Bombyx mori: one gene and its partner. The protein of the gene in region 1 purifies or fractionates together with the protein of each later gene. This does not show direct contact. Links are inferred from orthologs where the notes say so. Each region holds a gene or a part of one and is shown in the gene's direction. Other genes may lie near its edges.

What was found. The genes of interacting proteins can lie anywhere in the genome.
Region 2: the proteins of CCR4-NOT transcription complex subunit 1 (region 1) and protein Tob1 purify together in Homo sapiens (co-immunoprecipitation; 3 studies listed by BioGRID and IntAct, counting the BioPlex papers as one, with this or other methods). This does not show direct contact. The link is inferred for Bombyx mori from reciprocal best matches to the Homo sapiens genes CNOT1 and TOB1.

What each region holds. Positions count from the first base shown.
Region 1 is NC_085107.1:17,975,558-17,979,848, reverse strand, and holds the start of CCR4-NOT transcription complex subunit 1, read left to right. Parts: upstream 1-1,440; 5' UTR 1,441-1,998; coding exon 1,999-2,100; intron 2,101-2,207; exon of another isoform or gene 2,208-2,348; intron 2,349-3,013; exon of another isoform or gene 3,014-3,124; intron 3,125-4,291.
Region 2 is NC_085116.1:12,120,301-12,124,624, reverse strand, and holds the start of protein Tob1, read left to right. Parts: upstream 1-1,471; 5' UTR 1,472-1,816; intron 1,817-2,494; exon of another isoform or gene 2,495-3,176; intron 3,177-3,386; exon of another isoform or gene 3,387-3,552; intron 3,553-4,324. UniProt on the Homo sapiens protein: Anti-proliferative protein; the function is mediated by association with deadenylase subunits of the CCR4-NOT complex. Mediates CPEB3-accelerated mRNA deadenylation by binding to CPEB3 and recruiting CNOT7 which leads to target mRNA deadenylation and decay.

The sequences.
Region 1 (4,291 bases):
TCTAAGCAACAAAAAAACATATATGTCAACATAACTAAGGTATCAATCTACTCTATCTAGGTCATAGACCTTTAGAGTAAAAGGTAGAGAAAGAAAATATCTTTAACGTTTATCGATAAAATCTAATAATATTAAAATCTTCTGGGCAGCATTTTTTTTGGTCAGGAGGAAATCGCCGAACTTCCGCCCTCCCCTGGGGATGGAAGGCGGGGCATGTTGGAGTCGAACTGACTAAAACCTCCTGTCGCTCAACAACCCGCGTCCGAACCTCGCATGAGACAGAACCCATGAAAAGGCAAAGGGGGGAAAGTGAAGCGTTTAGTGCGGAGCACATCTCTCCCATCACCCTCCCCCTCGGGACGCCGGACCAGCGGTCGTCGGCGCCACGACCACCAGCCCTCTCGGTCGGCAGGCTATCCGGAGCCCGTCTAGATGGCGCCGGTTTGAATGGGTTATCCTACGGAATACCCCGCTGGGTCAGAACCAGCGTGGGTCGAGGATAACCGGCCTTCCATCACCCGGATGCTTTTGCGTAAAACGCGTGCAGAGCAGCTTGCACGTCGTCTTCTTAGGCCCCCTTCGCCGGTCCCCAGACCGACATATGAAGGGGACCCGAAACATTTAGAGGGCCAGGGCTTGGGCGAGATCCGCCTCCCTGGCCCCCGCTCGACGGCGGCGGGCTTGCGCGTCTCTCACGCGCCCCGCCGCCTCCTTCTGCGAGATGGTGCACTCGCAGAAGTCGAGCATCGCCTTCCACGACTCGTCGTCGCCGAGCATCGATGCCAATACACTCGGCAACGACAAATTGTTTCCTATTTTTGCGACGACAGCACGGTGCACACCCCTCCCATGCGGGGCAGGCGACGAGGGCAGCACTAAAACCGCCTTGTTTAGCGGCCAGATGACGTCACAGTGGCACGCATTTTTTGTTGACGTTTCATTTCCATAGGTTTCATACTTCAGTGATCTAGGTGGAGCAGGGTCATGTCATTGTTTTTAAAATAGAGTCAGATCATTTTGTTAAGTGGCCTCTCTCGGTGACAATAATAATATGACAATGCAACTGGGGAAATTGATGCTATGTGTCATACTAAGCGTATGGCGTAATGTTAATATTAATGAGCAAATAGTTTGCGGTGAATTACGTCCCGATCTAGTAGATTCTGATTCTGGTCCAGCGGACTGTCTTAGAGTATTAGCAGTACCGTCTCAATGGCATAGCCTATCGCTGACTGCACTAGTCGAAGTTGAGTAATTATTGCGGATGAAGTCACCGTCGTATTTATAACACATAAACAAAAAGCAAACAAACTTAATCATCACATGAATGTTTGCCCGATGTGCGTGTCGGACTCATGACCTATTAAAGAAATTAGCTTCTCTATTAGCGAGTTAGTCAATTCAAAGTGATACAACGAAATTCATTTTTAGGTAACGTTTCAATGGTTAACGTCAAACTGTGTACTCGTATATGCTAAGGAATACATACGAATTATAACTTCTCTAGTTATCTGGTTTTAACTAAGCTATTAATTGGTAATTTTGGATCTATAGCTCTACACAGAAATTTAAAAAATGCGTTGCATAGAGTCTGTCGGTAAAAAATATTTTATTCCTAGCAACTCTAGATGAGAGTGTTTGCTCTACCTATTGCGAGACGTCCAATCTCTATCTAGTCGGTGCTCTATGGTAACTCTCTGGGCTGCGGACGTTCACGAAAATTTTCCGAACATGGCACGAAGCAGCAGGCAGCCACTTTGGTTCTTTCGTCATCGTGTGCTGATTACTACTGAAATTTAATTTATAAATTGCTGAGTGGGGTGATAATAATTATGTTGTTTTTATCAAAGTGAACAATAAAATTGGTGATGTTGGGCTTAGGTTTATTATCATTTCGTCAGAAAACTACCAAAGAACACAAGTTCGTCGTAGAAAATCATAAAAAATCGAGAAAGCTTCAAACGTGTTTGAAGCTTTCGTTTTTGCATTAATGGAACTATGAACCTGGACTCTTTAACGTTGAGCTTATCGCATATACATTATCTCGTCGTAAATTTAAACAAGAAAAATTTCAAGCAGACGAGTCAAGAATTGAATCAGGTAAGAAAACTACCATATTTTATCATTCTTTGTTTTCTGTTGTCGCCATATTGTGAATATTGGCAGCCACGAACTCTTCGCCTGTATGTGTGTGTAGCGTCGGGTTGTTCTATTTGGATATGTTATCGATCGTTATCGCTTTAATAAGTGCTCTGCGTTAGTTTCTTGTGGACACTTTTGATTTACATTGAAGCGTTTGCCTGGTGGCGCATCTCCGCGGAATGATGTCCGGAAATCTATAGTCATAGGTGGCACCCATTTCATTTCCTTCAGCATTTCATTTGTTAAACGTCAATAATCTGCTGTACATATTACGTTTATGATTCATTATTAATTTATCTTAAGAATATTTGAAAAAAAAGCTAACCAAATAAAGTTGAATGTTTATTCTTTTTTTAAAGTATGACAATTTTATTATTCATATAAGTAATAATATGTAATATAATAAATAAGTTAATTAATTATAACAAAGGTTAGAAAAAAGAAAAAAATTTGAAGGTCATTAATAATGTGTTGTGCTATCTGTGCTAATGATTCAATACAACTTCTTTAAAAAATCAGTTGCTAAATTTGTATTATCATACTACTTAGAATATAATAGTTATTAAAAATGACGCAAGATTATTTCAACATGAAAAACACGTTAGAAATTACCCCACATCTAGTCTTTATCAATGGTTGTTTCAACAAACTAGCCTAGCAATAAGTAAAATGATAATAATTAAACTAGTAGTAAATTGCGTGAAGCATGTTTTTGACATGTTGCTATTGCAACATTGCCTGAGTGATTTTCATTCCGTTTGGTTGCTCTGTTTTACTTCCGTGTGTAAAGATTCTAGGAAACATGTGTTGGACACTGTTCAGTAAAATAAAGTAGCAAAATACAGTTTTGACAGCAAAGGAAAATAACTGCTAGTATATAAATTGTATTGTGGGTAGACATGTGTTTTTTAACTGTCCTTAATACTGAACAAAGAAGACAGCAAACACTAAGGAAATCAATTTAATATTTACACCACTTTAAGTAAGCAATTACTATTTATTTTATTTCCCATTAAAAATACTGAGTGTTTGTTAGATTCTTGAAATCGTAATATTATTTATTATGTTGATTAGCAGATACCTACATACATATCTACTACTAAAATATGAACTCTGTCATAAGAAGACTTAGTATCTGCAGTAATAGATTTGCCTCTGATATTCTGTTAAATACCAACATTTATTTTGTAAAATATATGTTTGTACCTCATGTCTAATAACAAAATGGTAAACAAGTAAATTATTTAATAAAAAAAACAAAACCACTGCATTTAAAATATTAACTGAAATGCAAAAAAAAAAAACATGTAATGTTATTAATTAGGTTTTAGGTATTATGATATTACAGGTAAGGGACAAACCAGTTGTTCAATTGGTGGTGTTTGAATGGAAACAAATAAATTGTATTTCTTTGCCTGTCCTCAGGCAGGTATTTGAACTTTGAAAACTGCTATATAGAACAAGGACTCTCATAAATGTTATAAATGTGGATATATATGCTTATTCCTGTATGACCATGTCTTTATGTTGAACAAAAATTATCAAGATAGATAAGCTATTTAAATATTAAAGTGAACAATCAGGTCAGGTCAGGTAACTTATTTACTTTTATGAAAAATTTGTTACTTTAATTTGCTTGGTTACCTACTACATTTTACTGATTTTAATAACAATATAGTACTCAAATATGACAAATAATCCAGTACTAATAAAAAATAAATAAGTAGTACTCCATTATCACTACATAGTATAAAACAAAGTCGCTTTCTCTGTCCCTATATCCCTATGTACCTATGCTTAAATCTTTAAAACTACGCAACGAATTTTGATGCGGTTTTTCTTAGTAAATAGAGTGATTGAAGAGGGAGGTTTATATGTATAATAATATCCATTAAATAGTGGACAAATCAATAGTAAATTACAGTTTCTGAAGCGTAGCGAGGGCGGGTCGCTAGTATAGTATATGTAAAGCTGTCTTTTTTGTCACCTGGCTTTCAAAATGAACTTTCCTCCTAAATCTTTTCATGTATTTCTTCAAAGTTCAAAAATTGTTCTCAGTCTTAGAAAGTTGCCTAGTTGTGTTCTTTATGCTCAACTGTTACCATTGACCATTGGTCTTAGGTTCCTTCTTCTTTCTAAAGTGATTTTA
Region 2 (4,324 bases), on another chromosome or scaffold:
ACATATTAAGATTACTTCGAGCGATAATTTTGTCAAATGGGTGTAATTCGTCGTCCTTTTAAAATTCCTTTACATAGAGGCTAATTTAATTTTAAACTATCTAATTTTAAAAAAAAACGTCTCTATAATTCCTGAAGAGGTTTTGTTGTGTTTATTGATACGTATACTGAATACTCGTAATGACTGATTTCTCATTTTTGAGATGAAAAAAATTTCCTAGTGTTTCATTTAAGTTTTGTTCATATGTGCTGTAGACATTATTGGTATACGTTATTTACACGAACAAAAATGGTAAATCCGTTCATTATCAAACTCTGCCTTCAAAGCTTTAAGAGAATATGGCGATATTTCATAACGGCTTTTTGATTTGTTCAAAAATGTAAAGTAAAGTGACTATGTACCTCGCCACTTGCTTATTTCTTCTATTCTGAACATCTTTAGACAGACTAAACTTGGGATGATATTTTTAACCGCATTTATTCCTTTCATCAACAGTTACCTTGAAACATGTAAAAAAGAGATAATAAAGAGAGTAAAGATTCGTAAGTTATACACCAACTTATTAAAAATCATATTAAATCTAGAATTTTACGACCTTATGTATATTAGTTGGGATAAGCCGGTTGTTCTAAGCGCACAGACTTACATTACGGCCTGGGATCTCTATTTTCATTTTCATTACACGTTATTTTTCCTTTGTCCTGGAAATGTTTCGTGAACAGGTCTCAGGTATATTTCTAAAAGTGACAACATTCAGTCAAATTATAAATAGACTCTCTATAAAAACAGTCAATGGTCACTATTATTTGATAATCTTGTTTCTGGTGGTCACGAACGATTGACCACGAAAACTGTTAATTATTCGGAACGATGGATAATACACGCAATATTAAACCGTAAAAGTAGTTTCAATTAAATCATAATTGTGTTTTATTTAGAACAATTATTGGGTAAAATAGACCTCGTATCAAATACGGTTTGCTTGGACGAAAAAGGTACGTGTTCCAAGAAAACGGGATTTAACACTTTTCCTTACACAAGCACCTTTTTCCTTTGTAATTTGATAAACGCCGCAGCGATGACGGCCCAACTTTTATTTGACTATAACCCGAAAAAAGAGGTCTGAAAACTTTTCCAATTCGCACTTCAAAAGAAATTTTCCGTCTCGGTTGTCTTTACCCAAAATTTTAAGTTATTCGAAACAAAATTGCGATTGTTCCATTAATAATTATATTTTTGTATGTCTACGCTATTGCATGCTACGAGTTTTGGTCCCGTAGCTATCTATATTGACGGCATAGTTTTGATAACGGCATGCATCTAATCAAGCCTAGTTATGTCCTTAAACTTGTCAAGTGTAGCATCACGGTAGAGCGGGCAAGTGCAGCCCAGTCCCCGTGACCTACATCCTCCGACCCTCGCTCGGGAAGCTGCTAATTTCCAGCATCGCGGGCTATGCCTACGTCACAGCGGGGGCAGGGAGGCACCTCGTCGGTCGCCGCTGCCTCGCTCCGATACTCCGATCCGACAGTCCATAGCTCCACAGCGACTCGACGAGACGCGCTAGTCGACCCGCGCTGCGGCCGATCGCGATCACAACCTCACTCAAGCCGCCTGAATTCCACAATCTAAAGTGTTTCAATTATATTTTTAGTGCGTAAACTGTGTATAGTATTTTTTTTAATTGCAAACCGTGACATCGAATCAGGCGGGCTGACGTTCGGGTGGGGCGCGTTCTGCTGACACAGTGGCTTAGTCAACCGCCGGTCGCCGAGTGGCAAGCACCATCGATTTTCTCCATACGACTGTTCACTAGGTACGTAGCATCACGTGTTCGTATTTTCATCGCGGCTATTTCCACGCGCCGGAGTATTTTCAGGCGATCTGCTTAACGTTCAAGGCCGCGTTTGTTTGCGTTCTCACTTACGTTACTGCAGAGTTTACGTTTATGTTTTGAACGCTTGTTTAGTTTTTTTTTTTTACGCGTTGTATGTCATCGTGTTGTCACGTGCGATTCGTTCGAGAGGAAAACGAATCGGTTTCACGGCTCGTGATCTTCGGCGCGTGCTTAGAATATGAATTACGATAACGCTTTTATGGTAAAGGTAGAGAGAGTTATGCGCATAATTTTTTTACTCTATCACTTACACTTTTATGTTTCAATCTAAAAATATATTCGTAAAGAAACGTCAATCAAGATGTTTTTGAATTTGGCCAGATGTGTGACGGAGTGGTCATGAGAATGGTCATGACCTAAAGAGTGGCACTAAATCAGACGAGAGTGATCCGTATTCTGGCAGTCGTTCAGACAGCGGTTCATTCAGAGATCTCTCGATGTTTGCATTCTTTAAATTGTGTAAATAGAACTTCGTCTAGTAGTTCTTAGTACATAACTAATTTTAGTTCGAAAAGAAAGGTACTCTTTTTTAAGAAGATTTGTAAGATTTTCGATCAATTTATCAATGTGAGGAATTAGGCAATAATACTCTTGAAATAGGAAACCAAATAAATTTATTTTCACGAAATATGAGTTGGTAAACGCAAAAAAAATAATGGAAATCACATTTCTTTATCTGGAACTGTTATTGGTTTTTTTATCGCGGTTACATCGATTGCATTACAATTACAAACAGTTTTTTTTTGTGAAAGAAATATATTTTTTACTGCGGACAGTTTACACAAAATAAAATCAGGTTCAAATTCGTTCAACTGATAAAAAATAGTTCGCATAATTAGGTGTATTTATTTATATCTGACGGGTCAAATGCGTTATGTAGTCACGGAGCACAGACTTCAATCAGTGCTTATTAAAGTATACTCATAAAAACCTTAATTATTCGAATAATTTGGAGTTCAAAAAAAAACATTTTTGTTTTATTGATTTTTCCCTCAACCTATTGAAACAACACACCCTGTAACGTTGTTTTTGAAAGAAGTTTCCTATTTTGAGAGTGATATAGCATGTTGTTAATCCGTAGAGGGTAGATGCCCCATCTTGCTTCTAGTTCGAAGGCGTTCAGGATAGTCACTATTGGATCCAGTTCGAGCAACTTATTATGGTTGGATGCGTCATGTTGTGGGTGTCTCTATGGGTTTCTGAAACCAGGCCTGGTTGGCTCGACTGCCCTGTATATGTTATAATTATTAACTTTATCAACTTTCCATTTGAAAATATCCTGTAAAACAATAACAATAATAATAATAACACAGATGATTTTGATAAATCCCTAAATCTTTACTTCAAAATTGTCAAAAGTTTTATGTATTGTCATAATTTCAGCTTAATCGTTTAGTGTAAACGCTAAATTAAAAAATCAATGGAAACCGTAAAAAATGTTCTTCTGAAAAATCTAGATCTAATAAAATAATAATAGAGTTGTACACACCGAAAACGGAATGCATACAGAATAGATCCATTTGGATGAAACTTTGCAGGATGTAAGAGAGCTAATTAAATTACCGAATAAAGCATTTATTCTGTACACAAACATAACACTCGATATCACGAGGCGTACATACAACGCCAATATCAATAATCATGTGATTCCTTTTACTAGTCACTCGAGTTATTAATGTCCGTATTCCATAAAAATTCTATTCGTGAGGCCACAAAATAAATAGACTGTTGTTACTTGAAAATCATAATAACATCAATTACGTATCGTGCTTACGTGTGGAAATGACGAACTATTAACTCGATTTCGAATTTTGTACGTGAATTGAATTTTTGTATTTTTTATTTCTTTGATAGTTTTATATTTCCATGAAATAAGTTTTACTTCACACTCGCGATTCGTTGTTATACCATATATATACTATTTATTTAATACTAGCTGACCCGACAGACTTCGTAGTACCTCAATCGATAAATAAAAGACCTAAACTTTTGTATAAAATTAACTTAAAACAAACAAAAGGAATCCGTCCGACGGGGGACACATCAAAGGAAAAACATTTTTTTTTTAATTTTATTTAATTCCGACCATTTTTATATTTATCGACCTTTTAAACCTTCTCTGGACTTCCAGAAATAATTCAAGACCAAAATTAGCCAAATCGGTCTAGCCGTTCTCGAGTTTTAGCGAAACTAACGAACAGCAATTCATTTTTATATATATAGACATTACGTCGAAAGTAATTCGTACTAAAACCAAACTGAAAAACACTATTGAATCTATATGCAAACAAAACGCCAAAATCACAGGTAGTCACGCGTGCCCTTTATAGGTACTTTAACGAGGAAAGGGTTGAATAAACAATGTTTAAAGGTTGACGCCGAGTCGAGCATGAAATTAGTTTTCTTTTTAAGCCTTTCGATGAACAA